2 linked regions of the Canis lupus familiaris genome follow. The protein of the gene in region 1 purifies or fractionates together with the protein of each later gene. This does not show direct contact. Links are inferred from orthologs where the notes say so. Each region holds a gene or a part of one and is shown on either strand. Other genes may lie near its edges.

Region 1 (4,173 bases):
TTTTAAAACATATTTTACCAAAGACAGTACTACTGATTAGTAAACAGAACTATGTGTGCCTAAGAACACTTTGCACTTTGTACTGGCACAAGGACGAGCTTTAATTCAGACATAAAATAGCTAATTTTACTTACATTAAACAATACAGAATTATAAATATAATAGAGTAATGACTGCCTACCCATTCCCTACATGAGACAGGGAACATTTTTGTTAACAATACCTGTTCTAATTAATTGTGTCAAAAGACAGAAATCAAAGTGTTAAAAAAAAAAAAAAAAGGCAGTAAAGAGAGCTTAATAGACCCCGGTCTGTGAAACCCTAAATAATTAATTTGATAATTTACCTAAACAAAATTTAGAATCATACTTACATACATATGATATATACACACATATATATTAAATTTCCAGTTACTCATGATACTTAAATAATTTTGCTAATGAGCCTCTGATCTGTTAACTTTTACATTCTACAGATAACATATTCAGCTACACATACCTATTTACATATGACATCCGGTAAGAAAAGAAGAAATGGTCTTAAGTGCCTGGTAATCAATAAAAATATTTTTTGAGGTTTTAATACTACCTTACTACAAGTAATCTAAGCTAGGCAACGATAACTAATTAAGCAAAGTTTTTTTCCTATTACTCTTTCGGTTTAACTACTGTTTCAAAACAGGAAAAGAATTTATAATTTACTGATGAGTCTTTTTCTCTAAGGCCTTTACAAGTGATTAAAAACAATACACCCAGACTCCTTTTTTAAAATTTCTTTGGCAGTTTTCATACAACTGAATTACAATTTAAATAACTTGTCATATTAAATACTCCCATTCTAATGCAACTCCAGAAAAGGAAAGAAAAAAAAAAAGATAATGATCCTACGACTTTTCATTCCTTTAAATTCTTTCCCCTTCAATTTAGGAAATCAGTCCTCACAATAGCACAAAATACAGTGCCATTCAACAAATTTAAATTGTATCACATCGCTGAATGATGGGGGCGGGGGCGGGTGGGGGGGGTCTTACCTTACCCTCTATGTAAATGGTTCTTTTAAAAGAATCACAGGTATTACACTCGTGCCACATATTAACGAAGTTTGGTTAACTTGCCAGCAGTCAGACTTTTCTTTTCTTTTTTTTTTTACTTATAATGCTCACCGTTCTCTCTGACTCTCATACAAAAAAAATCTCTGTCAACCAATAAATCAGCCAAATATCTCAGATCATCTTTGCCCTCTTCACCCTCTTCATCTCAACGTGCTTTTAAATGATAAATTGACAAAATTATCTGAAAGTTTGGGGTCACTGAAGTGGGTAAAGAGAAAGTTGAAATATTTTAAACTTGTATTCTCACATAAAAACCACAGACAAACCGAAATCAAATGTCATGTGAACCACCCCAATTTCCTTTTCGGCCTGCAGCAGCAGCTAATGGCATTGTTCTGCTCAATCTTCTTTTAAAAAAAAAAAAAAAAAAAAAAAAAGCTTTCTACTTCCTCTTCTCCAGACACCAGCCTCCGAGGGTCACCAAGCCAGGGTCTTGGGAGGGCGCGGAGGAAGCATAAACAAGCCCCCCCCCTTCAGCCTCCTGGCCCAGCGCTGAGCTCTATTGTAAGGCCTCCCTGCCTCGAAACCGCCCCATGAACCTTGCCAGAATCCTCTCCAAGGCCACCTCGAGCAGAGCCCGCTGGATTTACTTCCCTCTAGGTTACAGGCAGATCTAAACCCCGGCTGCATATCATATAATAATAATAATAATAACAATAACAGGAGGCTCCCTCCTCTGCCCTCCAACTTTTTTTTTTCTGGGTAAACTCGTCGTCCACTCCCCCTGCCCCCAAAGCAAGAGATCTACGCATCTATCTATAAACGGAAAATAAATTGTTACCTGAGTGATGCAAAGTTTTCATTGCTAACTCCTATTTGAAAGCCCGGACACTCCCCTGCCTTCCAACGAAGAAATTAAAAAAAAAAAAAAAAAAGATAACGTCTCCGTAAACCAGAAAGTACCCGCTTTAAAGTGGAAATCATCCACTCGGTTGAAACAACCTTTAGGACCAGGTAGGGCACCCCCGGGGGGGGCTCCTAACCGAGCCTCTCGGTGCCACTCGGTGCCACTGTCAGCACATCAGCGATCACCGGCTGGCACTTGATGAAATTGAAAAGAAAGAAAAGAAAGAAGAAGAAAAAAGAAAAGAAAAGAAAAGGAAAAAGAAAAGAAAAGAAGAAATAGAAGAAAAGGCAGAGCACTCCCTCCTGAGGTCTTCACTCCTGTTCTAAGACCTAAAGCCTGAGCAATTCAAATAAAAACCCATTTTGCAATACGTGACCTCTCGGTCCTCCCGGCGTGAGGTTCCCGGTAACTGCTCTGACCCTAAACCATCAGGGCGCCGGGACGCATCCTAACGGCCTCGGGTCACCGCCCGGGACTCGCATCTCGCACGCAAGCCGGGCCGCCCTCCCGAGGCCGACGACGCGCGGGCCGAGGCGACCCAAGGGCAGGGGCGCCCGCGCGCCCCGAGACCGCCGCGCCCCCCGCCGCCCCGAAAGCTCGGACCCGCGCCGCGGACACTCACCCGAGGCCATGGCTCCGCTCGCCGCGCCGCCCGCTCCAAGCGTCCAGACCCGAGGCCGCACGAGCAGCCCGCGTCGGTCCGGCGGCCGAGGGACTCTGCCGGCGGGCCCCCCGGTGCCCCTGACCACCCCCGGGGCCTCCTCCTCCTTCCCGCCCTCCTCGGGGCTTTGCGGCTCACACCCTCCCACCCCCTGAGCGCTCGCGTCCGGGATCGCCGGCTGCGCCCGTCCGGCGTGCGGGAGCCAGGCGCAGGGGGCGGAGCGCCGCGACAGCCGAGCGCCCGCCGCGGCCCGGAGGCTGAGGCCGCCCGGCGGGAGGGGAATTTCCCGCGACTGACGTAGGCCCCCCCGGCCCCCCCGCCCGCCCGCCGCGCGCACGCCCCGCCCCCTCCGCGCGCCCCGCCACGCCCCCTGCGGCCCGGGGGGCTCCGCGACTGGGTCGGGGCCGCGGGGGGAGGCGGGAGCTTCGGGAGCGCGGGGGACGCCGGGAGCCGGGCGGTGACGGTCCCGAGCGTGCGAAAGCCGCCGGCTGCGGAGAAATCCCCCTCCTCCAGGTGGTTCGGAGGCGCGTGGCTTAAAGTTCAGGAGCGGGTGGGAGGGTGCGCTGACGTGCCGGGGGGCCGGCCGCTGGGAGCGGGGGGGCGGGCCGGGCGGCGGGGGGGGCGGCTCTCCCGGGGCGGCGGCGCGGGGGGGCGCGGGGAGGGAGGAGAGCGGGCGCGAGGCGGGGGGGGGGGGGCGGCGGGCCGGGGTTTTCAATGGGTGGTTCCCCCTCTTCCCAATTTCGTACATGCAAATCTCCGCCCCCGCGCCGCGCGGACGTCCCGGTGAGCCCTGGCGGGGAAGTGCGGAAGCCGCGGCGTCGCCTCTGTTCTTCTGTGATGCGCAGATTTGCATTTGGGGACCCCCGCCGCCGGATCGCCCCCCGCCCCCATTCTGCCTCCGCCGGCGGAGGTTCTGTCTGCTTCACCTGCGGCAGCTCTTGAGGCTCTGGAAGAGCCGCCCTGCGAGTTGGGTGCCTCGTACGCGCTGTGCTTGGTGAAGGAGACGCCGTCCGGGATCTGACGGATAGACTCCCACGGGGAAGGGGATAGACTCCCACGGGGAAGGGGGTGGGGAGGGGATAGACTCCCACGGGGAAGGGGGGGGAGGGGGATAGACTCCCACGGGGAAGGGGGTGGGGAGGGGATAGACTCCCACGGGGAAGGGGGTGGGGAGGGGATAGACTCCCACGGGGAAGGGGGGGGGGGGGGATAGACTCCCACGGGGAAGGGGGTGGGGAGGGGATAGACTCCCACGGGGAAGGGGGTGGGGAGGGGATAGACTCCCACGGGGAAGGGGGGAGGGGGATAGACTCCCACGGGGAAGGGGGTGGGGAGGGGATAGACTCCCACGGGGAAGGGGGTGGGGAGGGGATAGACTCCCACGGGGAAGGGGGGAGGGGGATAGACTCCCACGGGGAAGGGGGTGGGGAGGGGATAGACTCCCACGGGGAAGGGGGGAGGGGGATAGACTCCCACGGGGAAAGGGGAGGGGGAGGGCGATAGATTCCCACGGGGAAGGGGGAGGGGGATAGATTCCCACGGGGAAGGGGG
Region 2 (3,965 bases), on another chromosome or scaffold:
AATGAGGACCATCCCACCTCAATCAGCTGTGGGACCGAGCCATTTCTGTCTTTACCACTGCCTCAGCCAAACAAAACGGTTCATCCATAGCCATGGCCAGGGATTGTGGACTTACACTGTGTAGGACATGTGCACCTCCTCTTCTAGGCCCCACAACCCCACCCAGGAGGGAGGGTACTGGCCCTGATCTTCCCTCTGCAGAGGAGGAAGCCTGAGCTGCCTTTGCTCATACACTTGTATGAGACTTGATTACAAGCCTGCAGGGTGTTTCCTGGGCCCAGCCCAACCTTGGCAGTGGACTGCACAAAGGGGAAAACCAGAGGGGGACAAGGTGGAAGACGGGAAGGCGCACACACCAGGGCAGGGTGACCTTTGAAAGGCCACGGCTGTGCTTGGTGTGACCGTGGGCGAAAGCAGATTCTGAAAAAGAAAACAGAGTGAAACACACTGGTGGTTGGTCTGGGCAGTTGTGGGAAGAAAAGAGATGGGAAGGTGAGGGTAGAGCAGGGCAGTTCCCTCCGCCTTCTGCTCTAAGAATACCTTGGAGCGGGGCTCGGGCTCGGGGCAGCGCCCTGCTCCGCGCCACTGCCCTGCAGCTGGGAGGGAGCACCCCCCGGGGCTCCGCTCTTGGAACCTTGCCCTGCTCAAGTTGCTCGGCGTGGCCAGCCTGGCCTGCAGGTCGCGGATGCGACCGGCGCACGGGTCCAGCACTGGAGGTCGCCCTTGACTCCCTTCTTTCCCTCCTATCAGCGGCTGCATAGAGGCGGCTTTTACCCTCGCTTCTCCTCTCCGCTGACTCCTTGAAAACTCCCCCGACGTTGGAGGAGGAGGGAACCGGGCCTCTGGGACAAGCCTGCCACTCAGAGGAGGACCACCGGGTCACAAAGCTGGGGCCTGCGGAGGGGCGGGGCCGGGCTGGCGGCAGGGGGCGGGGCCACGCGGTCGCCATGGGCGGGGCCGGGCGGCGGTGGGGGCGGGGCCGGGCTGGCGGAGGGTCTGGGACGGCCTTTCCGCGGGTCCCGGGCCACGCCGGTCGCTGTGTGCGGGGCGGGGCTCTCGGCGGTGGGCGGGGCGCGCCGGGAAAAGTTCCGGGAAGGTGCGGCGCCCGCCCAGCCCGGGCGCGGAAGTCGGCGGCACCCGCGGACGGCGGTCCAGGCCCACGGCCATGGCCTCAGGGGGCGCCGGGTCTGGGGGGCAGGAGGGGGCGGCGCGCGCGGCGGCGGCGGCGGCGGCGCTCTGCGGCCTGTACCACGAGGCCGGGCAGCGACTGCGGCGCCTGCAGGACCAGCTGGCCGCCCGGGATGCCCTCATAGAGCGCCTCCGCGCCCGCCTGGCCGCGCTCGAGGGGGACGCGGCGCCCTCGCTCGTGGACGCGCTGCTGGAGCAGGTGGCGCGCTTCCGGGAGCAGCTCCGGCAGCGGGAGGGCGGCGCCGGCGAGGCGGCGCTGCGCCAGGTGCGGCCGCGGCGGGCGAGCGCGCTTCCGGGGCGAGCGGCGGGGACTGACGGGGCGAGCCCCGGGGAGGCTCTGAGAGGTCTGCAGCGGTGCCCCGGGCTCGAGAGCGAGGGCGGCGGGCCGGCCCGGAGGGCTGTCGGGGCCGCCGCGCAGCTCCCCGGGCGCTCCCGCGTCAGCCTGTCGGTTCTGAGGACGCACGCGGACGCCTTCCCCTTAAAGCTGAGGCTGCCAGTCGTTTCCCAGCAAAACTAGGTTTATTCGGGAGGAGCAGAGAATTGCAGTAGGTGAGGCCGCCGAGCGAGGAGGGGCGGCTCCTTGGACAGAAGCCCGCCGTCCTGGGCGCTGCCGTCCCGCTGCCCCTGTCGGGTGTGCGACGGGGAGGAGCGGGAGGGGGACAGCTCCTCCTGCCCGTCGGGACTCCGCTCTAGCGTGCTTCTGACGGGTGTGAGGGTTGTGCGTCCTTGGTGGCGCTTCGGGGTCTAAGGTTTGGGGGCGGTGTTGCCAGCCCTCAGGTGAGGGTGCACCCCGGTGTTGCGTCTGTGCGTTTGTGCCCATTCTGGGTTCGAGGGATTTGTGTCCCATTGGACCTGAGGGTGGTTGTGTATGAGGGGTGTTTGTGCCGGTTGGCTCTGAGGGTTGTGTGTGTGTGTTATGTTCTGAGGGGTGTGCTCCAGGTTGTGTCAAGGACTGTGTGCCCATTTATATTTGAAGGTTGTGTCAGGCTTACCTGTTGTGTGACTCTGCGGGTTCTGAGGGGTGTATATGAAGCGCTGTTGGGCATTAGGGTTGTACGTCTTTTGGTTTTGAGGTGTGTAAGCCCCCGTCGGGTTTTGAGGAGTTAGTGTATGCTTGGTTTGGTCTGAGGGTTGTGTGTTCCTGTTGATTCTGAGGGTATGTGAGTGTGTTAGATTCTGAGGAGTGTATCCTGTGTTGGGTCAGAGGGGCGTGCTCATGTTAAGGGTTGTGAGTCCTTGTTGGTCTGAAGGTGTGTGTTCCCGTGTTGGGTCGAGGCGTATGATACTCACATTGGGATCTGAGGGCTAGGGGGTATGTGTCTGGATTTTGTGGGAGGGGTGTTTGTGTATGTTAGGCTCTGAGGTGTGAGCTCCTCTGTTGGGTCTGAGGGGTGCGTGTTTGTGTTGATTCTGAGGGGTGTGCTCCCATATTAGGTCTGAGGGTTGGGTTCCGTTTGGTTATTTATTTATTTATTTATTTTTTAAAGAACTTATTTATTCATGAGAGACACACAGAGACAGAGGCAGAGACACAGGCAGAGGGAGAAGCAGGCTCCATGCAGGGAGCCCAACATGGAACTCGATCCCGGAACCCTGGGATCATGCCCTCAGCGGAAGGCAGACGCTAACCCGTTGAGCCACCCAGGTGTCCCTCCATTTGGTTTTATTTATTTATTTATTTATTTTTTATTTATTTATGATAGTCACAGAGAGAGAAAGAGAGAGAGGCAGAGACATAGGCAGAGGGAGAAGCAGGCTCCATGCACCGGAAGCCCAATGTGGGATTCGATCCCGGGTCTCCAGGATCGCGCCCTGGGCCAAAGGCAGGCGCCAAACCGCTGCGCCACCCAGGGATCCCTCCATTTGGTTTTAAAGGGCTGTCTGTCCTTGCTGCTGCTGCTGCTGCTGCTGCTGCTGCTTCTTCTTCTTCTTCTTCTTTTTCTTCTTCTTTTTTTGTGCTTGTTGTTTCTGACATGTCTCTATGTTGCATATGAAGGATGTGTATTTGTGTTGATTCTGAGAAGTGTGCTCTCGTCCTGGGTTTTGAGGGGTGTGTGCATGTGTCAGGTTTTGAAGGATGTGCTTCCTGGCTGGCTGAGAGTGTCGTGTGTCTGTGTTGGTTCTGAGGAGTGTGTGTGCCTCTTGGGTTCTGTGGGGCATGTGTACCTGTGTCAGGTCTAAGGGTTATGTGCCCATGTTGGTTCTTCAGGTTTGTGTCTGAGTTGACTTGAGAGATAATGTGCCTGCCTAGGTTCTAAGGGGTTGTGTTTATGTTGGGTTCCGAAGGAGATGTGTACCTCAGTGGCTTCTCAGTGGTGTGTGTGTCCATTTTAGGTCTGAGGTGTTTGTGTCAGTTCTGAGGTCTGTGCATGCATGTTGGCTTCAGAGTGTTATACTCCCATGTTTGTTGTGAGGGGTGTGTACGCCCATGTTGGGTCAGAGAGTACCACGATGTCTGTTTTGGTTCTGAGTAGTGTGTCTGTGGTGGCATCAAGGAGTTTGCACCCATGTGGGTTTGTGAGGTGTGTTTGCCTGTGTTGGCTACTGAGGAGTTTGTGTGCCTGTCTGGGTCAGAGGCTTGTGTGTTTATGTTGGTTCTGAGGGATGTATATTCCTGCGCTGTGCCTGTGTTGGGTCCGGTGGTTGTATATCCATGTTTTTTCTAAGGGTTGTGTATGCCAGTATTGTGTTCTGAGGGTTGTGTGTCCATGTTGGTTTCTGAGAAGTGTTCTGTCTGTGTTGAGTCTGGGGTGTGTATGTTGAATGTTGGTTATGAA

What was found. Proteins that work in one complex are often made in the same cells at the same time.
Region 2: the proteins of REL (region 1) and TNIP2 purify together in Homo sapiens (affinity purification with mass spectrometry; 3 studies listed by BioGRID and IntAct, counting the BioPlex papers as one, with this or other methods). This does not show direct contact. The link is inferred for Canis lupus familiaris from reciprocal best matches to the Homo sapiens genes REL and TNIP2.

What each region holds. Positions count from the first base shown.
Region 1 is NC_049231.1:62,276,135-62,280,307, reverse strand, and holds the start of REL (proto-oncogene c-Rel), read right to left. Parts: upstream 2,801-4,173; 5' UTR 2,594-2,800; coding exon 2,584-2,593; intron 2,468-2,583; exon of another isoform or gene 2,338-2,467; intron 1-2,337. UniProt on the Homo sapiens protein: Proto-oncogene that may play a role in differentiation and lymphopoiesis.
Region 2 is NC_049224.1:62,041,770-62,045,734, forward strand, and holds the start of TNIP2 (TNFAIP3-interacting protein 2), read left to right. Parts: upstream 1-1,165; coding exon 1,166-1,453; intron 1,454-1,584; exon of another isoform or gene 1,585-1,737; intron 1,738-3,965. UniProt on the Homo sapiens protein: Inhibits NF-kappa-B activation by blocking the interaction of RIPK1 with its downstream effector NEMO/IKBKG.